Linked DNA regions of Arabidopsis thaliana. The protein of the gene in region 1 interacts with the protein of each later gene in a biochemical or structural test. Each region holds a gene or a part of one and is shown in the gene's direction. Other genes may lie near its edges. The genes, in order: NPH3, PKS1 and PHOT1.

Evidence for each region.
Region 2: the proteins of NPH3 (region 1) and PKS1 form a complex in vitro, tested with the Arabidopsis thaliana proteins (one study listed by BioGRID).
Region 3: the proteins of NPH3 (region 1) and PHOT1 form a complex in vitro, tested with the Arabidopsis thaliana proteins (one study listed by BioGRID).

What each region holds. Positions count from the first base shown.
Region 1 is NC_003076.8:25,723,971-25,734,067, forward strand, and holds NPH3 (Phototropic-responsive NPH3 family protein), read left to right. Parts: upstream 1-3,155; 5' UTR 3,156-3,597; coding exon 3,598-3,734; intron 3,735-3,832; coding exon 3,833-3,902; exon of another isoform or gene 3,903-3,954; coding exon of another isoform or gene 3,955-3,984; coding exon 3,985-4,593; intron 4,594-4,679; coding exon 4,680-5,525; intron 5,526-5,605; coding exon 5,606-5,884; coding exon of another isoform or gene 5,885-5,935; intron 5,936-5,955; coding exon 5,956-6,255; 3' UTR 6,256-6,388; downstream 6,389-10,097. Other genes in the region: AT5G64320 (Pentatricopeptide repeat (PPR) superfamily protein), read right to left, coding at 1-1,469; transcription factor SAC51, read right to left, coding at 6,920-7,966. UniProt on the Arabidopsis thaliana protein: May act as a substrate-specific adapter of an E3 ubiquitin-protein ligase complex (CUL3-RBX1-BTB) which mediates the ubiquitination and subsequent proteasomal degradation of target proteins.
Region 2 is NC_003071.7:851,131-860,780, reverse strand, and holds PKS1 (phytochrome kinase substrate 1), read left to right. Parts: upstream 1-4,055; 5' UTR 4,056-4,312; coding exon 4,313-5,632; 3' UTR 5,633-6,704; downstream 6,705-9,650. Other genes in the region: MEE12 (maternal effect embryo arrest 12), read right to left, coding at 1-515, 601-1,189; GSTF3 (glutathione S-transferase F3), read left to right, coding at 8,675-8,824, 8,945-9,433. UniProt on the Arabidopsis thaliana protein: May be responsible for light-regulated cytoplasmic sequestration of phytochromes or may be a negative regulator of phytochrome B signaling. Component of the network that modulates the very low-fluence response (VLFR) branch of phyA signaling.
Region 3 is NC_003074.8:16,811,582-16,824,275, forward strand, and holds PHOT1 (phototropin 1), read left to right. Parts: upstream 1-5,139; 5' UTR 5,140-5,334; intron 5,335-6,765; exon of another isoform or gene 6,766-6,962; 5' UTR 6,963-6,975; coding exon 6,976-7,676; intron 7,677-8,215; coding exon 8,216-8,398; intron 8,399-8,671; coding exon 8,672-8,763; intron 8,764-8,858; coding exon 8,859-9,126; intron 9,127-9,221; coding exon 9,222-9,444; intron 9,445-9,541; coding exon 9,542-9,612; intron 9,613-9,700; coding exon 9,701-9,807; intron 9,808-9,890; coding exon 9,891-9,940; intron 9,941-10,063; coding exon 10,064-10,168; intron 10,169-10,251; coding exon 10,252-10,311; intron 10,312-10,407; coding exon 10,408-10,574; intron 10,575-10,667; coding exon 10,668-10,752; intron 10,753-10,838; coding exon 10,839-10,919; intron 10,920-11,023; coding exon 11,024-11,127; intron 11,128-11,210; coding exon 11,211-11,260; intron 11,261-11,360; coding exon 11,361-11,467; intron 11,468-11,564; coding exon 11,565-11,693; intron 11,694-11,780; coding exon 11,781-11,945; and 6 more. UniProt on the Arabidopsis thaliana protein: Protein kinase that acts as a blue light (BL) photoreceptor in a signal-transduction pathway for photo-induced movements.

The sequences.
Region 1 (10,097 bases):
CAGCCTTTTCTCGGCATCTCTCTGAAAATCTCTACGGCCTCGGGGATTCTGTGTTCCTTGCAGAAAGCCGATATCAAACAGTTAAAACCAACAGTGTTGGGTTTCAGTCCATCGGCAGACATTTCATTAAGAACATTGTAGGCTTCATCTATCTTTCCTAATTTACAGAAACCATCAACTAAAATAGTATAAGAGTAGACGTTAGGCTTACATCCCTTATTCCTCATGTCATGAAGAACTTCCAGAGCTAAACCTACAAGACCCTCCTTCCAATATCCATAGATCAGTGAGTTATATGTGCAGACATCAGGAACAATGCCATAAGACGTGACCATATCTGATAAAACAGCTTTAGCATCATCAAGTCTTCCGTGAGTCACAAACCCGTGAATAAGAGTATTGAAGATCACAATTTCCGGCTTCGGAATTCTGTAAAAAAGATCTTTTGCAGCATCAACCCGGCCTATCTTACATAGACCATTCATCAAATAACCATAAGTTATATCATCAGGAGCAAACCCTCTAATCAGCATCCGGTTCACCATTTTAGCAGCTTCGTTAATCCGATCAAACTTACAGAGACCAAGGATAACATCGTTGAAAGTCTCAGCATCAGGAACACATCCCATCAGAAACATCTCCTCTAAAAGCTGAAGCGCTTCGTTCACTCTATTACACTTCGATAACGAATGTATAAGAGTCTGGTAAATAACAGAGTTTGGGACACATCCATGTTTCGTCATGTCCCTAAGCAGAGACAGAGCCGAATCTATCTCATTAACAGCACAAAAAGCTTTCATCACAACACCAAATGTGAAAAGCGTTGGAGGAATCTTTCGGCTAAGCATATCGTAGAACACATTAGCTGCAACTTTATGACAATTACCAGAAACCAAAATCTCCAAGACAACATTGTAAGATTTAAAAGTGGGTTCACAGGAATAGACATTCCTCATCTCCAACATCAATCTCGTTGTCTGTCCAGGAAAACCAGCTTTGTCGTAATCTCTCATAATCGAAATGAAAAGAGATTCTTTAAAAACGATTCCTTCATCTTTCATCTGAATTAACAATCTATCAATGGTTTTAAACTCACCATTCGCACCAAGCTTACCTATAAGAACTTGATACACATCGAAGGAGTGACGATAACCGTTTTGAGAACCGGTCCATGAGAACAACTCCATTGAAGTGGATACATTGAGAGGTAACTCAAGTAGCTTATAGAGCTGAAAGGGAGTTATCTTGTGAAATGAATTCCTTAGAGAATCCAGATCGAATGGTTTAAGGAGCTTCTCCCATTCGTTTGCTGAATCGGTACCACCGATTTCCGGTGAGCTGCCGCCGCCATCATCTCCGCCGCCGCCGGAAAATCTAGAGGAGAGACTTGCGTAGTAGCAGATTCTTTGCAAAGACTGTGATCTTCTGCTCACATCTAGAGCTAGCTTTGATCTCGCTAGCATAACCATAAACCCCACATTAATCAGACAGAATCTCTCTGGTTCCTACGAGCGAGAAGAACTTTAGAACATCGGTAATTACCAATTTACCCTTCTGGTCTCTGAAACCTTATAAGTTAGAGGGCTCGAATATGTTTTATTCTTTTTATTTTGGGCCCTGTTTTCTTTGTTTTTATTTTGGGCCCCTTCTGAGCCCAAACAAAAACAAGAGAAGTAACCTTGAGTTGATCCTGGCCGTTAGATTTATTATAACGTTTTCCTTCAGCCGTCGGATGAGTATATCCTGTCTGATTTGAACCGACAATTTTATATTAGCTTTTAACATATGAAGGCGACGTGGCATTTGTATTACCACGACCATCATCAATAATGTAAGCCATAAAAAGATCACATGATTATTACTTTGTGTATTTAAAAGAAAAAAGATATTGATCTCAAGTGTTTTAACCCCTTGTAACAACAATCCAATCAAGATGTGGCCATTATATAATTATTATGGCATTGTATATGTGGGGGTAAGAGTTTTAACGTGGTGATTGGATTGGTTATTGAATATGACCATCAATCATTTTATCATATGGAAATGTTTCTATAGTACTATCTACTATGTGATTGAAACACTTTATAACATGAAAACATAACTAAAGAGGATTAGTTGTACAAAAAAGTGTTATCATTCTAATCTAATTACTGAAAAAAATTAAAATTGAAAGTGACTAATATTGTTGTACCATATGAATTCACAATTTAATATTTTCATCGTAAACGTTTGATGGTTTTCTTGTAGTAACACTAGTTAGATTTAACACATGAATACAAGCTGGTTCTGCAAATACTTTGCATAGAATCCTAAGTTACTTGGAGAATTCCATAACCTATTTTTTGTTGTTGTCGTAGGAAATTACCATTCTAATCAAAAGTTACTTGGAGAAATGCATGGTCTATATATAGTAGCAAAGAGAAGATTACGACTAATACATATATAACCATCGTGTGTATTAATGTACATAGCTGACATTCTTATGGACCACTTCTTCTATCTCGATCTCCATTTATGTATGTATGAACAACCTTTGTTTTTAATGCTCTCTTTTAAATTTCCTCTAACTTTTCCTTCTATTATCTTTGTCATCAACCAACAACCATTGAAAACTATTGTGAATACAATTTCTACAACATCATATGTTTATCTCTTGAAATAATATCTAATGTCATAACTTCTCAAAATTGATAGTATGACTTTAATCTACTTTTTGTAACCCGTAGGTGGTTAGTGCTTTTGAAAGTAATCACTTTCACATTTCAGTATTTATAGAGAACTCATTTAGATGTAACAGTAACTCAAGGTTTCTATAATTGGTATAGAACTAATCACATTGGAAACATTTATGAATTGGGGGAAAGAAAGAGGAATAATATGAAAGAAAGTAAGAGAAAAGATATGCAAGATTGAGAAGAGAAGTTAGGGAAATGGACCCATATAAGAGAAGCCTCAAAGAGGAAAAGAAAGCAAAGATACCAAAAGAAAGTTAAATGCAATGTACATAGAGATGATTCAACATTTTATCAAAAAACAGACAGGCAAAGAAGAAGGAACGAGGCTTTGTCATAGTTAATGACACTCACTCTCCAACTTGTCCCTCCCCAAATCTTATATATATATTTTATTTTTTTCTCTACTTAACCAACTCATATCTTCACTAAAAAACATACTACAATGTCAGTAAACTAATAATGTTTAATGTAAAATCTAAAAAAGACAGATTGAATTATATGATAAGAATGGGCAAAATTTATATCACTAAATTTCAAAAAAATTATGATAATTGAAGAAGCAGAGAGTTTTAAGCCCATTACATCACAGGCTGTTAGATATATGAGAGACTTTGGTTTTGAAAATCTCTCTGAGAAAATAGACAATTCAGAGAAAGCTCCAATTCTCGAAGCATCCCATGTGGGGATAATATCTCCCTCTCTCTTCTCTCTCTCTTTGCCACTCTCTCTTTCATCTTTATAATCAAAACTAATCAATCTCTCTTCTCTTGGAAACTCTTTGTTTCACTTTGATCTTCTCATCCTCTATATATCTTCCCTTGGTCCTTTCTTGCTTCCAACTACAGAGAGTGTTAACTTGTGTATGATGTGGGAATCTGAGAGCGACGGTGGGGTTGGAGTTGGAGGTGGAGGAGGAAGAGAGTATGGTGATGGAGTTTTGAGTTCTAACAAGCATGGCGGCGTCAAGACTGATGGGTTTGAGCTTAGAGGCCAATCTTGGTAATATCCTCACACTTTCTCTACAGTCTCTGCAAAAAGAACATGTTTCCTTGTTAAGGAAGTTAATACTCATATCAAAAACCTTTGCCTATGATTAGGTTTGTTGCTACGGATATCCCCAGCGATCTTCTGGTTAAGATCGGCGACATGAACTTTCACCTTCACAAGGTAACTTCATATTCTTGAGTCAATATTTTTAAGCTGGAACTAGAGAAAGTTTATGGATTTAAAAGTGTTTCTTTCCTTTCAGTATCCGTTGCTGTCACGTAGCGGGAAGATGAACAGATTGATCTATGAGTCACGAGATCCTGACCCGACGATCCTTATTCTTGATGATCTACCTGGAGGACCAGAAGCGTTTGAGCTTGCATCCAAATTCTGCTATGGAGTTCCCGTGGATCTCACGGCAACTAACATATCAGGATTACGTTGTGCAGCTGAGTATCTTGAGATGACAGAGGATCTTGAGGAAGGGAATCTAATCTTCAAGACAGAAGCTTTTCTCAGCTATGTGGTTCTGTCTTCATGGAGAGACTCCATCTTGGTCCTGAAGAGCTGTGAAAAGCTCTCACCTTGGGCTGAGAATCTTCAGATTGTGAGAAGGTGTAGTGAATCTATCGCTTGGAAAGCTTGTAGTAATCCAAAAGGTATTAGATGGGCTTACACAGGGAAAGCTCCATCTCCATCAACAACAAATTTCGCGGGTTCTAGTCCGAGATGGAACGAATCAAAAGATTCAAGTTTCTATTGTAGTCCGAGTAGGAACACTAATAGCCAGCCTGTTCCTCCAGATTGGTGGTTCGAAGATGTCTCCATCTTAAGAATCGATCATTTCGTTCGTGTAATCACTGCAATCAAGGTACTACTACACATAGGTTATTTTTCTCTCAAGCATTTTCACAAACACTTGGTGTACATATCTCAATCCTCTATCCATTGAAACAGGTGAAAGGTATGAGATTTGAACTACTCGGAGCTGTAATAATGCATTACGCCGGAAAATGGCTTCCGGGTTTGATCAAAGAAGGAGGAGTTGCAATAGCTCCAGCAATGTCCTCCGCCATTGGAGGAGGATTAGGTTTAGGAGGAGACGAAATGAGTATAAGCTGCGGAAGCAACAGCAGCGGAGGAAGCTCCGGACCAGATTGGAAAGGCGGTCTTCATATGGTTCTCTCCGCCGGAAAAACAAACGGACATCAAGATTCCGTCGCTTGTCTCGCCGGACTAGGAATCAGTCCAAAAGACCAACGAATGATCGTCGAATCTTTAATCAGCATAATCCCTCCACAGAAAGATTCCGTCACTTGTAGCTTCCTCCTCCGTCTTCTTAGAGCAGCAAACATGCTCAAAGTAGCTCCGGCGTTGATCACGGAGCTCGAGAAACGCGTAGGGATGCAATTCGAACAAGCGACGCTTCAAGATCTTTTGATTCCTGGTTATAACAATAAAGGAGAGACAATGTACGATGTTGATCTTGTTCAGAGATTGTTGGAACATTTTCTTGTGCAAGAACAGACGGAAGGATCGAGTCCGAGTCGAATGTCGCCGTCGCCGTCGCAGTCTATGTACGCCGATATCCCGAGAGGGAATAACAACAATGGTGGTGGTGGTGGTGGTAATAATCAGAATGCGAAAATGAGAGTGGCGAGGCTTGTGGATAGTTATCTCACCGAAGTTGCTAGAGATCGGAATTTGCCGTTGACAAAGTTTCAGGTTTTGGCTGAGGCGTTACCGGAATCTGCTAGGACTTGTGACGATGGACTATACAGAGCCATTGATTCATATCTCAAGGTATATATATATTGAAGGTCTTTTTGGTAAATTCGTAGAATAGTTTTCAACATTTTTTTGGCTTAATTTTGTTGTGATAGGCGCATCCGACATTATCGGAGCATGAGAGGAAACGGCTATGCCGAGTGATGGATTGTCAAAAACTATCAATGGACGCATGTATGCACGCGGCTCAGAACGAGAGGTTGCCATTGAGAGTGGTGGTTCAAGTTCTCTTCTCGGAGCAAGTCAAGATCAGCAATGCTTTAGCCAACACATCACTCAAGGAGTCAACCACTTTAGGAGAAGCCATGGGTACGTATCAGCCTATGATCCCAAATCGCAAGACATTGATCGAAGCAACACCACAATCGTTTCAGGCAAGTAAGAGAAAACACTCATCAAAATTCACACAAATTCCTTTTTTCTAATTCCTCTACTTTGAATGCAGGAAGGATGGGCTGCAGCCAAGAAGGATATTAACACGTTGAAGTTCGAGTTAGAGACGGTGAAGACCAAGTACGTCGAGCTTCAGAACGAGATGGAAGTGATGCAACGACAGTTTGAGAAGACGGGGAAAGTGAAGAACACGCCATCTTCTTCGGCTTGGACCAGCGGTTGGAAGAAGCTAAGTAAACTGACTAAGATGAGTGGACAGGAGAGCCATGACATATCCTCTGGAGGAGAACAAGCTGGTGTTGATCATCCACCCCCCAGGAAACCAAGACGATGGAGGAACTCAATTTCATGAAGTGATAGTGATGGTTTTGTATCTTCTTGATTTTGATTCTTTGAAAAGAAAAAGCTTTTGTTTGTTCCTAATTTGTAATGTTTATTGGTTTCTAATATGGAATAAGTGACATAAACGATTCGATTTTTATCACAAACCAAAAAACGCCATTTGTTTATTACAAAACCATTTAACAATACAACAATAGAGACACAACAATACCAGTAGCATGTGGGTTGAAGCAAAAGACAAAGGAATAGTTTGCATTATTACAGACACTCAAATTAATTACATGAACATGACATCAATATTTCATAAAAATCATGGACCCATCTAGTCATCATATGGACAAAAGAGTGTGTGTGGGTCAGAGATATTTTATTACCTTAGGGGAGATTCATAGATCACGCGAGCTTGAGATGAGACTTTGAATATTTGCCTTTTGATTTCACCATCCACACTCAGCCAAAAAAGATAATCATTGTCCATCAATGACCATGACGACTTTGGCTTTTCATTCCACACAGAGAGAAGAAGAAAGTGACCTCTTTTCTTCTTTAACTTTTTGAAATTTGCAGTAGCATATATAATACTTAAAAGTAGTCCACTATATACAGCTAAAAAGCTGGTGCAGAGGATACGTACCCAAAAACCCACTTCACACGTTTTAACTCGTCAGAATCTTTCACGCCTTATCTGTCTGCAGATTTCTTGTTCCCCATGTTGTCTCTTTAAGCAACAAGATTGGTGACTTGTGAGTGGTGGAGCTTTGGTTCTTAACCTCTGTGGAGATTAAGTCTCGTTTCAGCAACTTTAGGTAATCAATTGCTTCGTCCAGAAGTAAGAGCGCTTCGTTTCCTTTTGCACCAGGGACTACGCTCTCGAGTATTTTCAGAGCTGTGCGGATCTTGTCTTTCTTCGACTGCTCGTTGCTCAGACCAGAACCAGTGTCCTCTTTGGTCGATATGGTTTTTGATTCAGGGAGCTTTTTGTCCTTAAGAAAGGAAGATCCATTGAGTTGTGTGGAGCTCTCAGTGCCCACAAGTGATGATAAGTCGCTGATGTTGTTGACCTTATCCAGTAGTTTCTGCCTTTTACAAGGACCATCGATTTCTTCTAATTCCCTTTTGTTGCAAACTCCTTCATTTGGATAAGGAGAGTGACCAGTGCTCATTACTTCATCATCACTCTCGCAATCATCATCATAATCATCATCTGAATATAGCAATGCATTGATCTCCTCAGTGTCTTCATGCATTTCTGACTCTGTTCCATCACTCTTGTGAAACTCTTCACCATCTTCTTTGAAAGCTTTCTCTATACCTTGTAACTCAGAGAGTTTCACTGGTTCTGCAGCCGCATGAGATGGAAACCGTAGAGGAAATGGACATTGTAATAGACGAGTCTGGTCTCCTGACTGATCGAATATCAAAAGTCTTTTCTGAGAAGACTCTAATGCTCCAAGTGGAGTAGTAGTAGTAGTAGCAGCAGCGCACCAAGACCGCATGTCAGACCGTGAGAATCTTTTTCCATAAGACTCCTTATCATGACTGCACAGCAAAGACTGGAATGGTGGTGGCTGCAAACAGCGAGCCTGAAGCTTAGCTGCATATAGTTTCCCAAGCTCAGGGAGAGGAATTCTAGGAAGGACAGACCGACCTACTATATCCTTGAAGCAAGCTTGAGGACTTAAGCCCAGAGGCAAATCCCGTTGCCTCTTATCCAGAGGCATGCTCTTAGCAGTTTAGCTCAAGGGAACTTCAAAAAGTACAACACTGCAGGACAAAACAGAGGCAAAAATCAGCTCAAGAAAGATAAAGTCAGTAATATCACAAGCGTAATTAGAGGGAAAAGAGCATACCGATTGTTAAGTTGCTCAACTGAGTGAATGCAATACTTCTTGTGTCCTTTTCGAGAAAATAGTAAAAGAAAGACGAACGAAAAACAATCACAGATTGAAAAATGCAGCGAAATGTCACCAACCAACTACGTGACTGGTTTGAGTAGAAGTCTGAAGTACTCAGCCTGAAACACAAAGAATAATCACAAAACCACAGTGTTAGAAGACTAGAACTATATAAGCTAAAAGTATGATAACAAGAGCATTATTGTCTGGTACAAACCTGGCAATTATCCATCGGTTGATAGCATTCAATAACTCTCACTACAATTGTTGATTCGTTAGCGTTTCCGGTCTCGTACTTCAATCCTCGAAATCTTGTCTTACCAGGTGATTGGCACACCATAACTTTGAGGAAATCTTGATTGAAGAAAGTAGACAGATACCAAAACCAAAAGGAGGAAAGTTTTGTTTGTGGAAGGAGAGTGAGCTTTTAGTCTAGCTGATTCTTTGTTCACAATGGTACACATAGAAATGTTGTGATCCCATTTTCAAAAGTGTTTATAATATACCGAAAAAGAAGGGAAGATGAATAAGAAAGAAAAGGATTTGACTCTTGAAGGTGTTGCTTCAAAGGTGAAACAATCTACAGTATCACACGGCAATACAGATTCAAGCTCAAAACTTTACGGTATACGGCAATACACATGCTGTTTTCTCTTTCTCTTCCTCTTATACACACTCTAATTGATTCTGATCACTCAAACCTACTTTAGTATCTGTGCAAAAAGTCGAAGGAAGAATCTCATCAGCACCAAAAATGAGCTAAATCCAGAGATCAAAAACAGTAAAGGACATAGATTTATAAACGTCTAGCAAGTGGGTGTATTCACAGCATCAATTCCAGCAAAATTACGCTACATTTTACTATTACAACTCAGAATATACACAAATCACAATGTTCTAAGCTAGATTCAGACATAAATTACAGAACTTTACCATTTCACAAACGACTCAAACCGTTTTTAACCACAGTCTCCAGATACACAAACAGAGAGAACAGTGACACAGACTATAAGAGAGAAAAATTGGATTTTGATTACCTTAGAAAGGAATGATCTTTCGGTCAGATCCAGAGAAAACGATGAGACTTTTTTGTTTTTTTTTGAGCTGAATCAATGGAAAAGCAAAGGGATAAGAGAGATGAAAGTGACCAACGAACAATAATGTCTAAACGGAGAATTTTTTTTTACGAAATATTTCTAAAGAGGTGAGTGGCAACAAGAGTAACAAGGCTTTATAAAAAGATTTTATGACGCTTTTGCCCTTTTCATTACTTTATTTTACCAATTCACATTCTCAATTTTTTCGGTTTTTTGTTTGTTCTATATATCGAAATTAATTTTCATTCTATATTTTTTTAAAAGAAAAAAACTAAGATACGCAAAAGGTAACATAATTTAAGTTGTACAATTTGAATTTTTAATTATTTAGAGGAAAAATATGTGTAACTTGGAAATTAATCTAGTAATTAAAAACGGTGGCAATGTTTATATTTGTGCTTTGCTTGAAAGAAATGGGACAAGGGGGCCGAACGTGTATATACGTAATTATGGTATATATGATGACAAAGTCTCACGGTCCATAATTTCAGGTTATACTTTATCATTAAATAATATTTTTCTAACCAATATAATTTTTTAATATATACTTAATTCGTTAAAGTAAAAGTTCATACGTTTTCTCTTATTTATTTTAAAAGCTAAGTTAGTGAAAGTGTGGTCGAGCTTTATTATATCCTTAATTATTTTCTAAATAAATACTATTTCAGGTTATAATCCCTCTTTAATTTTATTGAAAGCTAAGTTAGTGAAAGTGTGCTCAAGCTTTTTTTCATCCTTAATTATATTTTAATAGTACATTTGTTCAGGTGCGGTGTTGTGTGTGTTTCAAACACCCATTGTGACGGAAAAGAATAAAAGCTAACCACTCTTTTTAATTGTTTAATTTAAATTGACAATTT
Region 2 (9,650 bases), on another chromosome or scaffold:
AAGCTTCTGCTCATTCGTCGATAAATATAACTCAGGAGGCAATGACCAGTTCTGTATAAGACGCGCCAGATCAAGAATCTTGTCCTCAGGAATAGATAACTGCTTTATATAGTTTGAAGCTATACCATAGAAATTCACAGGAGGCAAAGGCAAACCAATAGTATCAGCAATCACAGAGGCTCGTGCTTCCAACATCTGAGCAGAAATAACCTGAAAAGGCCTAGCCATTATACTTACTTTCACCGGACACGCAGCTGATCGCTCTCCCATTTGCTCTCTAATATCGAGAAAACAAGACAAATACGGAAGCTTTCCTTCTCGTGCCCATCTCACAATATCCGTGGGTAGAACAGGCGCTCCCGCTTGGTGACAAGCAAGGAAAGATATCACCAAAGAACTCGATAAAGGCATAGTCTTTTTAAGTATACCAAACCATATCGTCACTGCTCTTTTACCATCTATGTTACGCGGCTCAGCTTTGTGTCTTTTAAGCCTCTTAGCATCTTTTACTTCACCTGCAATGCAAGACACCAAAAAGAGTGAAACTTAGTAACAAATAGAATCACACCAAACAAGACAACATTGTCAATAGATTTCTACCATCTTCTGACTGATGCTCGGAATCACGAATGGCGTTATTGGCCCAATCTTTATGGTAGACGCCAGAGAGAGCCACATAACGCAAAGAGATAGGTCCAACCAAACCAATAATCAAAGGAGTGACATTAAACTTGTCAACCAAAGCATCACACTGATAAGTGATCATCATAAGAAAAGCTTTAACATATCTATCTCTTGCTTCATCGTAATAATTCTCATAACTCAAAGTCTCTGCTGCAAAATCCACAGGCTCCGTTGGCTCTTTATCGACATAACTGTCAGGCGCTCTCTTCACTTCCCGGGGCAATTCCTTATTCCCGTTTTCAGATTCAAACTGAGATTTAAACTGAGAGTAACGGCTTGTGTCATCTGTAAAACGAGGCTGTGAAGGAGTGATTGGTTGTGGTTCAGTCCGGCGATGTTTGGGGTTATACAGAGCGCCCTGAGTACCTCCACCTTCACCGATTAAATCGCCGTCGTCGACGCCGGTTTGGATCAGATTTTCAACCTGAACACCGCATCGTTGGCAGTAGTAATATCCGTCGTCTTCTTCGTCAAAGGCGTCGTTTTCGCACTCCGTGCAGATCATCGTAATTGAAGAGACTAGAAAGAAACTTTGGGAGGGATAAATGAAACCCTAAACCCTAAACTTCGTCAGGAGATGATCCCTCAAATCAGATTGATGTAGACGAAGAGGAAGTGAAGGAGGAGGAGAAGCTTTGGCCTTTGGGGGTTTAGCATTTGGCGGCGGAAGAGTTAAATTAGGAGGGGTTTTGATATTTGCAAAAAAGCCCCTAAATTGTTTTATTGTTCTATTTTGTTCTATCTCTAGTCTCTCGACTGGTGAAAAGAGTTAATACCCATTCTGAGTGCATTTGCATACCCAAATAAATTTATAGGGCATTTTTCATACCTAAACCGTATTTTTATATGAATTTTATACTTAAATTTAAGAAAACGTATTTTTTTGCAAAACAAAGGTTCCGAACCCACGACCTCTTTGTCAATATACGGGATGTTAAACCATTTCGTCCAACAAATTTCACTGGTATATGCCAAACATTATCCATAGACAATAATGGGCATAACATGGAATAGATTGTGAGACCAAAAGGGATAACGCGGACATGAAGGTTGAGTTGGTTCACGTTGATTTTGAATGAGTGCTTTTCTTTTAGTTGTTTATGCAATTCACCATCTCTCCGTCTCCCCTAAGTTGTAAGAATCATGATTGATTCCATTTCCATCGTTCATTTGTTTCCATATATTGATCAGAAAATCAAAACAAATAGGTAGTTTAAACTACCATTAAAAAGGGATTTTGTGTGTGTTTGTTGCTTTTGGGACCTATCAGATTGTGTTTCTGGCTGTAGACTTTAGAGACAATTAGTGTGTTTTTCTGCAACTTGAAACGCCCCTATATTGCTAGCATTTGTTTACTGGGAGAGTTGACTCAAACCGAAATTATCAATCCTTAAATCCATAACTTTGAACAATATCAAAAATAGTTAAAGTTAAGTTAATTAGAGTTTTTTAATTGCCGCTTGATTACAACTTTTTGGAACACATTCCGGTTTGCAATCTTCAAAACTCTCGAGATATCTAAGAATTTTGTAAATTATGATTTTATATGCATATGGAAGCCTTTAGGATTACCAATCACCTCAGCTTTTGTAAATTACAATATGATTTTATATAAATATTGTAAAAGAGACATTTAAAAAAAAATCCTATATAATGATAATTAAAAATCAGATAACGGTACTAGAAAGTATACGTAGTACATCATAAATTGGTGATACCGTTTTGGTATATAATCAATTTTTATTAGTTTTGATATTTGTAGTCATGCTTGTGGTTTGTGGTAAATCTCATAATGATCATTTTTGTTTTAGTTGGACGAATAAAGGTTGTGGTTGAGAAACAAACACGTATGCTGTGGGATCAATTCGAACCATTCATACGTGATACGTCGACTATAGCAACTAATAAGCATATTTTATTAACTACATTACACAATATTCTTGATTGACAGATACATAGATTTTATGTTTGAATTAATTAATCTTTCGTTATGTTATATTTAACAAAAACAATACACATTATTTGATATGTATTATATGACAAGATACGATTCCATGAATTTTCTAATATACATTACACATAAATTATAGAGCGTACGTCAAATCATAACATAAAATATTACTATATTTAACAAAACCCAACTCGATGGTCTTTGTCAATATCTCCCCATGCAACAAAATACGTACATCCCTCGTGCTTTCTAAGTTTCTATTTTTGTATTTTTGTTCCTCAAGTGAAATCCATATCCACTACTTTTCTAGTTGAAAAAAGTTAGAAGTTAAAATACAAGTAAATCCAGATTCACTTGTCAGCTCAATCCTAACATGTCTTTGAAAATGTGTGTCCGAAAACTTGTCAGCCCATTATTAAGTATGTGAAACAATACTTTAATTTGAAGTAATTAAGAAAAACAATACATTAAATCTACTTTTTTTCTCATGTAAAACTCTTTGACACCATTGGTAAAATCCAATCATTTATCTTCCGATCTTATTGACGATGTCATTAATTTGTTAATTGTATGATGGTTAATAAGTTTATCCAATGTATGTTTTTGTTTAATTTATTTATCCAATGTATTATTTTATTTTAACATACAATGCTAATCAAAATTTTAGTTTAAGTAATTAAGAGAGTCCTTTAAGAATAATAAAAAAATGTTGGTTTATAACAGAGAGTCCTTTAAGAATAATAAAAAAATGTTGGTTTATAACAGAGAGTCCTCAATGCAAATCAGATTGTTTTAAACCTGCACACAATCCAACAAAATCATCTCTTCTTGCTAAAGCTAATCATCTCAATTATCTCACAAGGTTCAACAATCGTATGAATGTGAAGTATATAGCCATACACCCCCATCTGTAATTAACGTGTCCGAACGGATTGTACATTAGAGCACCTCCAATGTATAGGATTCATATAGTTTCTAAAAAAACAAAAAGTATTAATATTTTATTTTTATATCCAAAAAACAAAAAAAAACAACCTATATGAATAATAGAAACGATCCTCCCAATTTTAGAGATTCTCTCTCATCTCTTTTTTAATTTATAATTTTTTTTTGTAATTGTATGAGTTTCTACTAAAAAACTACGGTTGGAGTTGGTTTTAGTTGCTACAAATATAGTAGCAAATGTGTTTTAAATCGGAATCTTAAAAACGTATAGTAGTGCTAAACGTCTACGTACAAAATACGAATATTGAACGTATAAAAAAAAACACTTTCTGAAATCTGCAGGTTAGAAAATTATTTAAGAGATCCAGTTGCAATGTGAGTAGTATACTAGTACTGTTGTATTAATAAGTCCTAATCGAATTAAGACCATATCATTATAATTCCTTTCTTTTGTGGTCACGGGGGTAACATTATTTTTCGATTATTCTCCATTGATTGGCAAAGATTCATTATCCAAATATATAAATAAATCAGTTCACACACACAACAACTGGCCAATGACTCAAACTGGAACCCACTCACATTGATCAGATCATAACACTTTTAGCTTCAGAAAAAAAAAAAAAAACAGCTATCAAACATATCGTCTTGTTACTCTATTTATACCCTAATTCCACATATCTACACACAAGCAATAAAGAGAGAAAAAAATATAAAGCTACCAAAGAGAAAATGGTGACACTAACACCATCTTCTGCTAGTACCCCAAAAACATCTTTTGATTTCATGAAGAATAACAACAGTCACAGCAGTCTCTATGTTTCTTCTTCTTCTTACTTGAGCAGCAAGGAAGATGCTCTTGTCACGACCAAGAAGCTCATGGAACCAAGCAAAACACTAAACATGAGCATTAATCCAAAACAAGAGGAGTTTGGTGATGAGAAGAAAATGGTGAAGAAAGCTCCTGAAGATCCAGAGATTGGTGTGTTTGGAGCTGAGAAGTACTTCAATGGAGACATGGATTCAGACCAAGGTTCTAGTGTTCTGTCTCTGACAAACCCAGAAGTTGAGAGAACCGTCGTCGACTCGAAGCAGAGCGCGAAGAAATCTACTGGTACTCCGAGTGTCCGGTCTGAATCAAGCTGGAATAGTCAGAGCGTGTTGCTTCAGAACAAACTGGTGAATAGCTGCAACAGTTCCTTCAAGGAAAAGAAGAACAGTAATGGTCAGATTCAAAAGGTGACCAATAATAAGAAGAGTTTTCTCGCAAATTTGGGGTGTAAATGCGCATGCTCTGATGGGGATTCTGTAGATGTCGAGGAGAAAACCTCGGTCAAGAGAAGCGCTGATCCGAATATCTCTGTTATCACAATGAGATCTTCTGCGGATATGAACACAGAACTGATCAAGATTCAGAAGCAAGAGGAGTTATCACAGAGGAAGTCTCTTGAAGTTTTTGGATCTCCAGTGGCTATTGAGAAGAAGAGTAGTGTTGTTCAGAAGAAACTACCATTGCCTCCATGGAAATCGAGAACAGAGGAGGACGACACAAAGAGTGAAGGGAGTGATTCAAGCTCGGATCTTTTCGAGATAGAGGGTCTTACAGGGAACCCTAAACCTTTTCTTACGAGGCAAGGAAGTGATCCAGCTTCACCTACGTGTTATGCGCCAAGTGAAGTAAGCGTAGAGTGGAGCATAGTGACAGCAAGTGCAGCAGATTTCTCTGTTATGTCAGAATGTGCAACAAGTCCTGTAAGAAGAAACCGACCTACTCAGATTCCTCGAATCCCTATTACCGCTAAATCAGCACCGCAGAGACGGAAATCGAGTAGCAGCAGCGGAGGGAATGGTTTCTTGATGAGCTGCAAGAGTCATAAATCTGTTATGGTTTCTGGTGATTTAGACAGAAGAAGCAGCATGAACAAGACACAACCGAGTTACGTTCCTAGATTCCCAATGGAGACTACTAAACCTAAGAGTTTCGAAACACGAAGAAGGATCAGCAACAGCTCGATTTCTCACACACAATCATCTCTTCTTTATAGTCAGTGATTGCAAGAAAGTAAAAGAAAAAGATTTCAATCTCTGATCTCTCTTTATCTATAATTTCTACTGAGTGAGAAAGATATGTAAACTTATAATAATGTCTTGTTGAGTCCATGATCAAATCAATTTAAAAGGGTTTCTTAGAGACCTTTTGCACCTAAGAAAAAGTTACTCAAAGAGTGACAAATGATTGGAGAGTGAAAACAAAACATTATGGTCAGTTAAAAACACAGATCTCAAATTCAGCAAAATAAGCAGAGAGACATTCCAAAAATTGGCTCCACCAAGTTTTACCTTTTTTGGATTTAGTCTCAAGACTCAAGAGAGAGAGATATGAGTTTTGTCTTAGCTTGAAAGGGTTAAATCAAACGTACACTAGATTGACAGAAAGAGCTATTAATGAGGAAACTTAAATCAATGAAAGTGTCATATTACCTAACATATCTAAGATCTGGTCCTGAAACTCATCTAAAGGCCATGTATATGTCTGAAATAAAAGTAAGGTAGACAAAACCTTAATTGCTAGTTGACAATATGAGAGAAAAGAACCAAAGTGCCTTACTAAGACAATAAATGCAAAGAAAGATCAAAGATGTTTGTCTCTGTAGCCTACTCATAAGGGAAATGATCGAATTTACCCCAAATGATCTTATCCAGTTCACTGATATTTCTCTGTAAGATATTTCAAAAAGGGCTAATTAGATTTCAAGAAAAGACATAAATGAAACCAAGATGATGACATCAAAGCTAGTATAGCTAGTATGGGCTTAAAACCAAGAAACATACAGATCTTGAAGATAAGTATTGTACCCTTCTCAAAAGATATGAGAAAATAATTGACCACACTATATATAAAAATCTAATCATCTAACTACTTAGTTTTCATATGTGGATGAGAGAAGAACAACAAAAGCAAGAAGACATTTTGTGTTAAGAAAGCAAAACAAGATTACTCATCTTTGAATTCTTTGGTTGGACATTGCCTCAAAGCATCCGCTTGCTCTCTTTCGTCAAGTGAATAAAGGCAAGTTGGTAATGAGATGAGACTCTGATCCCACATGACAAAAAATGGCTGAGAGAAGTTTCTATTTAATTCCATAGAGTTTGTGGTGAAACATTCACTGTCTTGATGTGAAAGGGGTTCGTTCCTCAGGAGCCCACCAAGAGAAGGAGAAGAGTCTTGTGTGGTCGTTTGCTGCATCTCCATTACTTCATGTTACCAAAAGAATACAAAAAAACCCCAAACATAGGTTCAGGAACAGATGATGATTATAGAAATAACAATCTTATATTATCTGACAACAAAGTGGTAACAGTACATCAAAACTAGGATTCTTGACTGTCTCTAGCTATGTGTCAGTTCCTAATATCTTCCACAGAGAGAAGGAAATAATGATCATATGCCAACATAAAGAAAATCAAATCTTTTTAAAGCACCCCTAAGTGTATCATAACATGAGAAAAATAAACCTTTAAAGGAAAGATCACTCGATTTTCACAAAGATAACAATCACAGTGCTCTGCCTCTGATTACCAAGTAACGTTTAATGTTCAATTGCCCCGAGTGAAACCATTACCAGTTATTTCAAGAAGATCATAAACTCTACACTCTTTTTTGAAGAACCCATTGTTTAGATGTCGTAAGTAGTCCAGTTTCGTCTGAAATCTCTGTCTCTCTAAAGTATCCAATTCAATGAAATCAACAGGAATGTGGCAATGTGCCCATAAATCAACATTCAAAACATCGAAAACAAAGTCTCTTCTTTGGAAAAAAAAAAAAAAAAAAAAAGCCTCTTCTTTGTGTCTCTTTCCTAAACACAAAACGAACAAGCGCCACATAAACATAACAAAAGCAAATCAATTCATCATCTAAAACCGCTCCAAGAGAATCACTAAATTGTGATCAATGACGACGGTCCACGGCGAGATCAAGGAGACGGCGCCGTGTAAAAATTTCACCTTTGAATTTGATTGAGGAGGGACATATTCCACACGTGGCACCTAAAGAGTGGTTAATGATAAGTATCGACGCAAAGTAAGTATTTAACAATGATTAAATAAAAATATGAAACAAAGAACAATATTGGGCTTTCAAATTGGCGGGTTGAGCCAGGCCCATGCAGTAGTGCAACGCATGGGCGACTCGTGAAAGCCCAGATAGCAAGCTATCTTAACGGGCTTTCTCCCTTAAAAAATAGAGTTAATATCGTGTGGGCCGATGGCCCACATATCAGATATTAAACTGATAAGAACAGATACTACACTTGATCTTAGCCAAAAGGCCGAGAAAGGTATGAATGGTTTAGTCCATCAAGCTTCTTTTATATACACCAACTCCAAGAGTGAGCGATTAATTATTTAGCGATGTGGGACAATACCAAAACATTTTCTTAGCCTTCGGACAAAAGAACAATTTGGACATTATTGAATTAGGTTCGGTTATCTTAACCAAATGTTTTAATCTTGATCAGCATAATCCGAATTGATCCGGTCTGAACCAATTCAATAGATCTGACTAAAAAGAATAAACTGCATACCTTTCTAGTTTGGTTAAGATGCGAATTTCACATCAAGAGAAAGCTTTAAAACCGTCATCACAAAAGGGAGAAAGTTACTAGATGAAGCTAGTAGGTGGAAGTTTGAGTCATTTGGCCGTTACTACTACGACTTGTTTAATTTTTTTCTCTGATTCATTGAATGCTTTATTAAAAACTTTATCTCATAACCAGTGTAAAAACAAATATTCAAACGTTAATCAATCCAATTTAGCTTTGAAAAATCCACCAAGAAGAAGACTAGTCAATATTGGTTGCGACGGTCTTGTAGAGGCGTTATTATCTGTTAGATAATATTACTATAAACAGTGAGGGATAAAGCAGAAATGCTTCTGTATAAATACTATCACTACTTTTGATCAAAACAAAAAATACCATCACTATTTTACTTGTGTGTTATTTCATCACCTTCACCTTCAACATCAAACATCACATCTCTTTCTCTTTTATCTCTTTTTCTCGGTCTTCAAAGAGTTTCTTAGTTACCAAATCAATGGCAGGTATCAAAGTTTTCGGACACCCAGCTTCCACTTCCACCAGGAGAGTCCTCATCGCCCTCCATGAGAAAAACCTCGACTTTGAGCTCGTTCATGTTGAACTCAAAGACGGTGAGCACAAGAAGGAGCCTTTCCTCTCCCGCAACGTAAGTATATTTATCTATCTATGTGTTGTTTTGTAAGACAAGAGACCAAACTTTTTTGATGTACGTAACTGATCGGAATCTTAAATGTTTTTTGTGTTTGAACTTCTTTCCTATCTTCAGCCTTTTGGTCAAGTTCCAGCCTTTGAAGATGGAGACCTCAAGCTCTTCGAATCAAGAGCGATTACTCAGTACATAGCTCACCGATACGAAAACCAAGGAACCAACCTTCTCCCAGCTGACTCCAAGAACATAGCTCAGTATGCAATCATGTCCATTGGAATACAAGTAGAAGCTCATCAGTTCGATCCCGTGGCTTCAAAGCTTGCTTGGGAACAAGTATTCAAGTTCAACTATGGCTTGAACACAGACCAAGCCGTTGTTGCAGAAGAAGAAGCTAAGTTAGCCAAGGTCCTTGATGTCTACGAGGCTAGGCTGAAGGAGTTCAAGTATTTGGCTGGTGAAACTTTCACTTTGACCGATCTTCACCACATTCCCGTGATTCAATACCTGCTCGGAACTCCCACCAAGAAGCTCTTCACGGAGCGTCCACGTGTCAACGAGTGGGTGGCTGAGATCACCAAGAGGCCAGCTTCAGAGAAGGTTCTGTGAGAAATTTCTAAAAGGACAAAAGTGGTTTTGCTTCAGTCACAGTAATAATGCTACAAGTAAATAAGCGTCTGCCTCATTGCCCAGTTTCTCAGTACTTTCTTTCTGTTGTATCCTCTGTTTTTGTTTCAGCTTATGTGAGTGTGTGTACGTTCTTGAGAGTATCTTAGGCAAAAACTATATATCTAATCTTCAAGCTCTTCTAACCAACTAGTTAACT
Region 3 (12,694 bases), on another chromosome or scaffold:
TTTCCCATACGGATAACCCACAAAAACACAACATTTACTTCGGGAAGCAAATTTATCACCACTTTTATTCTGATCATGGGCATAGCACAGGGAGCCGAAAACTCTGATATGATCATAAGTTGGAGCTTTGTTAAATAAGCGTTCGAATGGTGTTGCGAAGTCGAGAACTGAACTAGGAGTCCGGTTTATCAAATACGCTGCGGTTAACACACATTCACCCCAAAATTCAATGGGTAAAGACGCTTGAAATCTCAATGCCCTAGCAATATTTAAGATATGGCGATGTTTCCTTTCAGCTCTTGCATTCTGTTGAGGAGTAGCTACACACGAGGTTTCATGGATGATACCATTGGTGAGAAAATACTTAGTTAAGCATAGAAACTCAGTCCCGTTGTCACTCCGGATCCTCTTTATTTTGGTATTGAATTGTCTCTCTGTTAAAGCACAAAACTTTTTCAACTGCTCTGGAGCTTCACTTTTAGTGGTTAACAAATACAGCCACACTCCTCTGGAGTAGTCATCAACAATAGTTAAGAAGTATCTTGCTCCAGAATGAGATGGAGTTCTATAAGGACCCCATAAATCAACATGTATTAATTCAAAACAATTTGAACTTTTATTCATACTCAATGGAAAACTATCCCTTGTCTGTTTTGAACGAAGACAAATATCACAAGGCTTATTCAAACTAGAAGAAGAAACAGAAGCAGAAACAAACGGAAGCTTTCCCACCACTTGCGTCGACGGATGACCCATCCGATTATGCCACAACTCAAATGACTTGATTTCCTTTGTTGCGGCTGAAGCTGCGATCTTTGTACTACGAAAGTGAAAGGTACCACCCACTCTTTTACCACACCCAATCACCATCCTCGAAATGCGGTCCTGAACCACGAGAAACCGATCAGCCAACTGAACAACACACTTGTTTTCATCCATTAACTGCCCCAAAGACATCAAATCAGTTTTCAACTCTTCAACATAGTAAACAGATTTCATTACCAAATGACTACCAAGACTAATAGAACCTTCTTTGTAAGAAACTTGCTCTCTACCGTCTGCCATAATGATCAAAACAGGGGGCATTTCTCGCACATTTGTTAAGGTCTCAAACCTTCCAGTTAAATGATGTGACGCCCCTGTATCCATAATCCAAGGAGAGAGAGAAGACATACTCGTTTGTTGTTCAGTTGAAGGTTGTTTTCCCGCATTGAGAATTGATTTTATCATTTTCCACTGGGTATCATTCAGTCCATGAGCTCCAGATCGGTCGTCGTCTGTGAGAACATGATTAGCTTGTTCAGTTGTCACGTTTTCCACATTCGGCACATAAACCCGATTAGCAACCTCTTGGGAGGCTCCGCGTCCCCTGCCACCACGAGACGTACTGCCACCACGTCCCTTCCCTTGTAGAGTACGACCCTTGGGTCTATCACCCCACCACTCTGGATACCCGATGACAGCATAGCACCGCTCTGCAGTGTGACCAGATCGATTACACAGTTTGCAGAAGAAACTTTTCTCCTTTTCGTCAGTTGGAAGACGTGGTTTGGATTGCACCGCAAAAGCTGTCATTGACGGTGACTCTTCTACGGGAACACGCAAGTCCTCTTCCTGACGAATGATGTTGTACACCTCTTCAAGTGGTTGAATGGGAGTCCGAGCCACTAGAGTTGATCGGACCGCCCGAAACTGCTCATCAAAACCATTGAGAAATTCATGAGTCTTGTCTTCCTCCCGATCTGCCTCTTGAGCAGCACCAAGATTGCAGGTACACTTACCACAACGACAAACACGCAACGGACGATGTGTGGCGAGGTTATCCCAGATCCTAGTCAACTTGCCAAAGTAAGATTCAATAGCCAAACCTCTCTGTTTGCAGCAAGCTAGCTCAGATTTCAGTTGTTGTAGTCGTGACCCATTCATGACAGAGAACCTCTTTTTCAGATGTTTCCCACAGATCTTGAGCCACATCTCTATGAGAAATGGTGGATCGAAGAGTTGGTTCAATTGTCATTTTGATCCATGACACAAGAAGAGCTTGAATCGTCGTCCAGTCTTCAAAATCAGGGGAAGTCTCTTCTGGTTTGGAAATTGAACCATCGAGAAATCCATACTTTTTCCGTGATATCAACGTGGTTCGAAAACCACAAGCCCACTCTTCATAGTTGCTTCCCTTCAAGAGAGGATGAGAGATTACGGCTCCAGGATTATCAGCAGAAGTCAGGTCATAAGGAGAGATTGTTCTCCTTACTTCAGTCGCAGCGGAGGTGTTGCTTTCAGTTGACATTGTCGAGAAAAAAAAAATCAAGAGTTTTGCTTTTCAGGCTCTGATACCATAAAGGAATACAGAGTTCGACAATGTATATGTGTTATTGATCATCAAGAGAAGCATACAACATATATAGATCGACTATACAACAGACGTCGTGAATCTAGGAAAATCCCTACAGTTGAGAAGATCTAAAAGCTATCCGTAACTATACAATTATCAGCATCTAATAGAGTATATTCTCAGAAAAATAAACCAAGTGTGAACCAAGCCGAACCGGCATAAACCATTCGCAAATAATGTTAAATTCATAAGAAATTTCTCCCAACTTGTGTCGAATCCAACACCTCCACCTAAGAGATTTATCATTGGGTCAACTCTAAGTTGGTTCTTTATTATTTTTAACAAACATACATATATCTCTTATCGATTCAGATTAATCATTGGATATTAAAAGTTCGTCGTGGATTTCTTTCTCTAATTTCTTCCTATAGAGTCATGATACAAGTTACTAAATTACTCCATTATATTTGAACAATCAAAATTGTGTCATGCTTTAGATCCATTAGAAAATCAAGTGAGTGGACTACTCAACACCTACACTTATCTTAGATGTATTAGTCTGGTGGTAAAAATATGGGTTACCCCTTAGTTATAAAAGATAAATAAGTGATGCAAGTTATTTTTCGTATTCCGATTCTTATTAGTTTTCGACCAGATCATGTGGTCCAAAATAATACCTTGAGCATTAGAAAAGTCTCGTAAAATACCACATCAGTATTTCAAAGCTTCAACGTATCTCCTTTTTATTTGTGTCCTTTAGTAAATGAACTTTTTTATGGTAGGGTTTTTTAGTAAATGAACTTACCTCAACAATGCTTTTTTTTTTAGAATCAATGATATTTAAGGGAGAGAGAAAACAAAACAATTTGTGTTAATGTAAACATTCCTACTTGTACTATCAGTAGACCAACATCGTATATTTTACCAAAACAATATATATGACGATAGAAAAACAATGGTAATTAGAAAATATTAAATTTTCCTAATGTAGATATTCTTGCATATAGTAACTACTAACCAGTGTCATTATCCCATCTTGAATCTTGATTTGTCTAGGGGTTAATTTAGAAAATGGGAGAATTTAAGCGGCCAATATGTGAAGATTGATGTAAACTAACCAGTGTCATTGTCCCATCTTGAATCTTGATTTGTCTAGGGAAGAAAAAGGGGTCAATTTAGAAAATGGGAGAAGTTAAGCGGCCAATATGTGAAGATTGATGTAACATTTTCAGCCCCCACCACACACTCAAACCCACAATGGACACATGATGGATAAGATTATAACCCGTTAAGATCTTTTTTTCTCTTTGATCAATCTTCACATGGGTTCTGGTCCTACTTGTATATGAAATGTTACCATACTCTCCTCTTTGTATTATACCCTTCACAAATTTTGTCCATAGGGTTTCCGACAAAAGGGTTTGAATCTGAACTGTTCTGATATTTTTAACCAAGCCTGATAGTGATCGTGATCGCTTGGGATGACCAGTCTGTAGTGGCAGATCCATTTTTGTTACCGGGATCATAATATAACTTTTAAGAGAAAAAAATGTTACTGAATTTGAGTGTAGTGGGGTCATTATATTAATACCAAATTTTACAAATGATGATACTGTTTTTTTTTTTAACAATATTTACATGCAATTAAAAAATATTTAGTTATTCAATCTGAGACGTATCGGCGCTATGCCATTGCTAGTCTATATTTGTTACACCGTTAAACTAGTTACACATTGCTTTTTAGAATATGCAAATGATCAAATGCATGGTTGTTTAAGGTTGGATTTTTATTTTTTTATCCAAAGTTTAAGGTTGTATTTGTGCCCATGATTTGATAGCATACCAAATCGATTGGGTTAACAACTGCTATATATTCTTGCAATATATTTTGTTTATGCATCGTAATGTATAGGGAAGTTATCTGCTAATTAATAATTAGAGTGATTTTTGGAAAACAAAATAGAGACAGAATTAATAAAACCATTTTAAAGAGAGAAAGTTTTGACAAAAAAAAAGCGAGAGAAAGTTTTGATAAATCAACCAAAAATGCATATAACAATGACATGTGATTGCTTTTTAATTTGTTTGTGATTTCTGTACCGATCTCCATGTTCGATTTCATCACTAAATCGGATAAAAGTGTATGTTCTTCTTTAATGTTTTTGCATGAAATATCTTGCAATGCATAAAGACTGAGATTTCTACCATTACAAAAGTGGAAAGAGAACATCTATGTAATATTGGGTCTCTGCATTTGCATTTGGGAACGGTTTTGGCGTTTTCAAATGACAACTCACTCCCACTTATAGTCACTGACACACACAGAAACTTTTAAAAGAACAACCATCACTCCACACACTTATGTGTTCTTCAAATGTTTTATTTATCATTTACTTCAATTATACGCACAAGTTACAACAAGCAAGTTTTTTTGTGCAATATTCTCTTTTATAATCCTGTTTGTCCTATACCAAAACCTAGATTAATCACTGTCAAACCAACATCATAAAATTGTTGGTTAAGTCATATAAACCATTCGTTTCCAATAAGTGCCATAGAAATTGAATATTGAGCATAGTCAGAATATATATTTATGTTTGGTCTGGTTTTGTTTGACAAAGAGAGTATATTCAGGTTTATAATCTAATTATCAAGACAGAGTTATACAGAAGATAGATAAACGATACTAGTGTTACGTTTCTATACAATCTTTTGAAAGTAAACAAAAGAAGCCATGTGGAATCAAAAACATTCGAAGCATGGGAAGATCAAATAATCCAGTGATGGAGCTAGAACGGAACTAAATCAATCATGAAACCTAAATAGTTTTTTAATCTTTCTAGAATCTCTTCTTATCAAAAAATTTCCTTATTTGTATAAAAAGCCTCGGGAAAGTTAACTTCTCATCCCAAACTCATTCCTCAGTTTATCTCTCGACTAGAGAGTGAAGGAAAAATCGAAGGATAATCTGTTTCTTCCAGCACAAGTTAACTTGCAAGGTAGTTTTCTCCCTTCGATTTATACTGTCTTGCTCACTTTCTTAGGCTATTTTTAGGACGATTCATTTTTTTAATTTGTATGTTATTCATCTTTTTAGGGTTCTTGTCACATTTTCGGCCTTAATTTGTATGTGTAAAAATATAAATAGTGAAGTAGATATCATTTTATATCGTCTAGCACTCTAGCTACTAGCTTGATCTGAAACTAGTATATATATAAATTATTTGAATGTCAGCTTTTTTTTGTGAAAGTCACACATCACATGGTAGTTGCATATTTCAAGAACTCAACTGAATTCGATTTAAAATTTCTCCAATCATAATTCATAAAGATATGTATTTCAATTTTTTTAAATAAAAATAGATTTTCCTATTTACCATGAAATTTTTTACTCTTTTTATTTGTTCTCATATAAATAGAGTGATAAACTATTTTACAAAGTTCATTTATGTGGAAATTGATAAAATGACAAGAACATGAAAAAAAGACAAAGATTTTTAGTTGAAATCTGTGATCGATCGAACAGAATCGGTTCAGCTACTGTTTTTGTAATAGAACAACTGTCCATTTTTATACCAAAATGACTAAACCACCCTTAGAAGATGCATGTGTTGTGTGGTACTAAAAACTCAAAAAAGCATTGAAACTTTACACCTTTGTGTCGTTTTCTCAATTTTACCCCCGCTTCATTTGGAATTGTCACTCTCAAAATTGGCGTATTTTCCAGTTCATATCTTCATTCATCTATGGCCCCATAAACCATAACTCTTTGAACCATATTTAATAATGTTACCTGCATGCATATACATTCATATAAAACATGTATTCATTATCATGTTAGATATGTCTAGTCTATTATTTCCCAAAAGAAAGACACCTAAGAGAGCAAGATTCTTGTTATTCATGATAACATTTTTGAAGATTCAAAAAAAATGAGTGATTGATGAATTATTTATGGTCAGCATCTAGTAAAATCATATCGACATATCCAGTCAGCCTTAGTAGAAATGCACCAAAGTGATATAGAGTGGATTTCTCTCGATCCGTGTAGAAATGGACCACCACATTGTCTGTTTAGAATATTATATTTTTTTGTATAAAATTGTAGACATAATCTCTTATTAATAAATATTTAATGCAAGTTAGTTATTTTTAATTTTATGAAAAGAGGTTAACTCCAATATGTACCATACTACTTGAAGAAGTTAAATGACAAAAAAAAATATAAGTAATACTACCATTTCCATATATTGTACTGATATTTCAAACTTTAATCAACTTTCCTTTCTATTTCTCCTTCTTTTTTTATGGTCAAACCCATTCTGTTTATGACTAAACATATGACATATCTAACCGTTATTAATTAGTTCACATATCACATATTTGTATAGTGTTTTCATTTTCAGTAATCAAACCATCCATCTACCACAAAAGAACTTGGTCATGTGTCCATTTTTAGAAATCAATAAAATATTATACCATATATTTATAGTATCTAACTTTAAGAGAATAAATATTTTTATTTGCCGATTCATATACACACACATGCGTGTGGTATCTATGTCTATCCATTAAACTAATTATATATAAACTTATTTTCTGGCCACAATTTTTGTTTCGTGTATAGAGAGAGCTCAAAGATGGAACCAACAGAAAAACCATCGACCAAACCATCTTCTCGGACTCTACCTAGAGACACTCGTGGCTCTCTCGAAGTATTCAACCCGTCAACTCAGCTGACCCGACCCGATAACCCGGTGTTCCGTCCTGAACCACCAGCGTGGCAAAACTTGAGTGATCCACGTGGCACCAGTCCTCAACCCCGACCACAACAAGAACCAGCTCCATCCAACCCTGTTCGGTCTGATCAAGAAATCGCTGTCACGACCTCATGGATGGCTCTGAAAGACCCATCACCGGAGACAATCTCCAAGAAGACGATCACCGCCGAGAAACCACAGAAGTCGGCGGTGGCGGCTGAGCAGAGAGCGGCAGAGTGGGGATTGGTTTTGAAGACCGATACAAAGACGGGAAAGCCACAAGGAGTAGGCGTGAGGAACTCTGGTGGAACTGAGAATGATCCTAACGGGAAAAAGACTACATCGCAGAGAAACTCGCAAAACTCTTGCCGGAGCTCCGGTGAGATGTCGGACGGAGATGTTCCCGGCGGGAGGAGTGGGATTCCAAGAGTATCGGAAGATCTAAAAGATGCGTTGTCGACGTTTCAACAAACGTTTGTGGTCTCAGATGCTACAAAACCTGATTATCCGATTATGTATGCAAGTGCTGGTTTCTTCAATATGACTGGTTACACTTCCAAAGAAGTCGTCGGCAGAAACTGGTAAAAAGTTATTCAAAAAATTTTAGAGCATTTTTTTAATATATAAAATACGTTTCGTTTTCTGTAATAATTACCAAAATTGCAAAGTTTTTTCTAATTAAATATCATAGTTTTGTTTTTAGGTTTATGGTTACTATAAATGTATAAAGATATCTTAAATGACTTAGTAATTCTTTCTAAATTTTCAAAAATTAAACCTAACTTTATTTTATTTTTTTAGAACTTTTCGAAACTGTGTACCAAAATTACAAAGATTAAGTTTTAGGTATGGTTATCCTAAATGATTTAGTAACTCTTACTAAATTTCTAAAAACTTTTTATAAACCTAATTTTTATGTTGTTTTTCCAAACTAATAGCCTTTTATAAACTAAGTTTATTTTTTAATGATAACTTAAAATATTTCTTTTAAATCGAACATTTCTTTGCAAATTCGAAAAATTTCTTACAAAAGTTTCCACCATTTTTTGTTCAATGAATGAATTTTATTTACAAAAAGAAAGAAGAAAAGAACATAATTTGGGTTTTTGTTTTATTGTAGCCGATTTTTACAAGGATCAGGTACAGATGCAGATGAGTTAGCAAAGATAAGAGAGACATTAGCTGCTGGTAACAATTATTGTGGGCGTATATTGAATTACAAGAAAGATGGGACCTCTTTTTGGAATCTTCTCACGATTGCTCCCATTAAAGACGAGAGTGGCAAAGTCCTCAAATTTATCGGGTTAGTCCCTTATTCCTTTTTATTTACTCGTTTCTCTCCTTTATTTCTTTCATTCAAAATGTCACCCTTTTTAATGGGTCTAAGTGTGGACCTGTGATTTGTGTTGCTTTCTCCGCAATAATTCAAAGATTTGTATCACCGACGGATCCTATTGTAGAATAACAAAAGAGAATAATCAATCAGGAAAAAGAAAAGAATTATAGAATCTGATAAAAAAATATGATTTTGAGGAAAAATCAGAAGATACCAATATGTTTTGTTTATTTGGACCAGAATGCAAGTGGAGGTGAGCAAGCACACTGAAGGGGCCAAAGAAAAGGCTTTGAGGCCCAATGGGCTTCCGGAATCTCTGATTCGATACGATGGTATTTACATACTTTCTTTTTCTATTTGTTTTTCCAAATTTTTTTCCATTTATTATGTTTTCTTAAAAATATTTTCAAATTTTGTTTTGTAAAAGCCCGCCAAAAAGATATGGCGACAAACTCAGTGACAGAGCTAGTAGAGGCGGTGAAGAGACCTCGGGCACTAAGCGAATCGACGAATCTCCATCCCTTCATGACAAAATCGGAGAGCGATGAACTTCCGAAAAAACCAGCTCGGCGAATGTCCGAAAATGTTGTTCCGTCAGGCCGAAGAAACTCTGGCGGCGGAAGAAGAAACTCGATGCAGCGAATCAACGAAATTCCCGAGAAAAAATCTAGAAAATCTTCCCTTTCCTTCATGGGGTAATAATCCTTACTAGATCATTTGTTTACCTGACAATTACTTTATAAAAATCGATTTAGTCTTTGATATGATTGTTGTGATACTCTGGTGATAGGATCAAGAAGAAGAGCGAATCTTTGGATGAATCTATAGACGATGGATTTATAGAGTATGGAGAAGAAGACGATGAGATTAGTGATAGGGACGAGAGACCTGAGAGTGTGGATGATAAAGTGAGACAAAAGGAAATGAGAAAGGGTATTGATCTAGCTACTACACTCGAACGTATCGAGAAGAATTTCGTCATCACTGATCCTAGGCTTCCCGATAATCCCATTGTAAGAACAAATGTTTTAGAAAAATGGAAACTTTTTTTGTTATGTTTCATTTCGATTGGTCTGAAAACGTATTGTTTGCTTTGTCCTATGTTTCTAGATTTTTGCATCTGATAGTTTCTTGGAGCTCACGGAATATAGCCGTGAAGAAATTCTTGGAAGAAATTGCAGGTATTACATGAATGTGATCTCAAAATGTCTTTTGAAAATATTTTTGAGCATAGAGCATGTGTTTATAAATTTTGTTTCATGGTTTTAGGTTTCTACAAGGTCCAGAGACTGATCTAACCACAGTGAAGAAGATTCGAAATGCTATTGATAACCAAACCGAAGTGACAGTTCAGCTCATCAACTACACCAAGAGCGGTACTCGATTTTTTCGATATTCTTAGATTAATCTGTCGATCATTGTATAAAGTTTTAAATTTACATTATATTCTCTGTGGCAGGAAAGAAGTTCTGGAACATTTTCCACTTGCAACCTATGCGTGATCAGAAGGTATAATGGTTTACATAGATATCTTGCATTATACGGCACCTTCAAACTAATCCTCAATTTCTTTTGGTTTATGAATTTAAAACTGAAGATGTCTATATTCTTTCTTTGATATGTTGTTGACAGGGAGAAGTACAATACTTTATTGGAGTTCAACTAGACGGGAGCAAGCACGTAGAACCAGTTCGCAATGTCATTGAAGAAACCGCAGTGAAAGAGGGAGAAGACCTGGTCTGGAATCCTAAACTATTGATCTTGATTTAGTATTCGTTTGATAGAAAATCAAGTATTAAACCTTAATCTATATTCTTTAGGTGAAAAAAACAGCTGTGAATATCGATGAAGCGGTTCGAGAACTTCCTGATGCCAACATGGTAAGTGATTGTCTAAGGATCTGAATATGATCATTTTAGATTAAGGTTTATTAGAATATATCTGACAGAATGTTTTATTGTGTCTTGTTTCTGAAGACACCAGAGGATTTATGGGCAAACCACTCAAAGGTTGTTCATTGTAAGCCTCACAGGAAAGATTCACCACCATGGATAGCTATCCAAAAGGTGTTGGAAAGTGGTGAACCGATTGGTTTGAAGCATTTCAAACCGGTGAAACCTTTGGGTTCTGGTGACACAGGAAGGTCTGAAACTCTATCTAATCTAATGAAATAGCTTACAAAAAAAAAGAACATTTCCTTCATTAATCTTATAATATCCCATTTGTGTTTTATCAGTGTGCATCTAGTGGAACTCGTTGGAACAGATCAGTTGTTTGCAATGAAAGCAATGGACAAGGCTGTTATGCTTAACCGAAACAAAGTAATTACAGTAACTTGCACTTCAAGGAATCTTGAGTTTCGCTTTTTATTTGTAAGTTTTGTAGCCACTGATATAATTTTTTGCAGGTACATAGAGCTAGAGCTGAGAGAGAGATCCTAGATTTGCTTGACCATCCTTTTCTTCCTGCACTCTACGCTTCTTTTCAGGTCAAAACCTCTGTTTACACATATATATATATATATATATATATATATATATATGCGTGTCTCTTTGGTCTTTGGTTACTAATGGATCATGTTTTATTCTGCAGACAAAAACACATATATGTCTTATAACAGATTACTATCCAGGAGGAGAACTCTTCATGCTCCTAGATCGACAACCTAGGAAGGTTCTCAAAGAAGATGCTGTAAGGTACAAGTGTTCCTCGCTCGAAAAAGTCTCAAGATTTCTTCACTTAAATATTGAACTAACAAAAACCCTGCATGAACTTTCAGATTCTATGCTGCTCAAGTTGTCGTTGCACTCGAGTATCTTCACTGTCAAGGCAATCCATTCAACCTCTTCTTTAATTACAAAGAAAATTTTGGATGCAAGGAATCTTGACATGATACTAAGTTGATCTTTGTAATTTTTCTTAAATTCAGGAATAATTTACCGAGACTTGAAACCGGAAAACGTTTTAATCCAAGGCAATGGCGATATCTCTTTGTCGGATTTTGATCTGTCTTGCTTGACATCTTGCAAACCTCAGGTTTGATTTCTCTCAACCTTTCCCTTCAGATTGTTTCCACTTCTACTAGAGAGTTTGCTCATGTATACTAATTAAGGGTGATTAATGAATCTTGTAGCTGTTGATTCCGAGTATAGACGAGAAGAAGAAGAAAAAGCAACAAAAGAGTCAACAAACTCCAATCTTCATGGCTGAACCAATGCGTGCATCAAACTCATTTGTTGGCACTGAAGAGTACATTGCTCCGGTTAGTATATTATATATACCAATTTAAGTACAGTGATTAAGGTATTTACCATTGTCTTAACCAGTAGTTGATGTCTCATATGGATAGGAAATTATATCCGGAGCAGGACATACGAGTGCAGTAGACTGGTGGGCTCTTGGTATACTTATGTATGAAATGTTATACGGATACACTCCTTTTAGAGGAAAAACAAGACAGAAGACTTTCACCAATGTTCTTCAAAAAGATCTCAAGTTTCCAGCTAGCATTCCTGTAATGGATCAATCACTATATTTCTATAAACTAATCTCATGCATAAAAATCGAGGATCATATTTAATTGTTCTGTTATTGGTTTGCAGGCAAGTCTTCAAGTGAAACAGCTGATTTTTAGGCTGTTACAACGAGATCCGAAGAAAAGACTAGGTTGTTTTGAAGGAGCAAATGAAGTCAAGCAACATTCTTTCTTCAAAGGCATAAATTGGGCTCTGATTCGATGCACGGTATAACTTCACACATTCTCTTTACTTGGTATATAAGAAACATTTCGGTTTTACTTGTGAAAGAAGAAAACTAATCATCTTATGAGATTATTTTGATATGCAGAACCCTCCAGAGCTCGAGACTCCGATATTTTCTGGTGAAGCTGAAAACGGAGAGAAAGTTGTTGATCCTGAGCTAGAAGATCTGCAAACAAATGTTTTTTGAGATTTGGACTAAACGTTTATCGTTTTCTTTTCAAGAATTGTTTGAAACTCTTTGTTCTCCAAAAATCTCGTTTTTAATTATTTTCATTTTACCATTATCTTTATTTATTTATAATGCCAAGTGTTTCTAATAATTTGTGTGAGTTTCTTAAGAATATGTTTTTTATATATGTCAATAAAATTAATCAAGTTTTGCATATGTTTTTGTTTGTTTCATTAATCAAGTTATTATAATGCGAATTCATGTGATTAAATTGGTAAAGTTAAACAAAGAATTGATATTTTTCATAATTTAGTTGAAGGCTACAAAAGACAA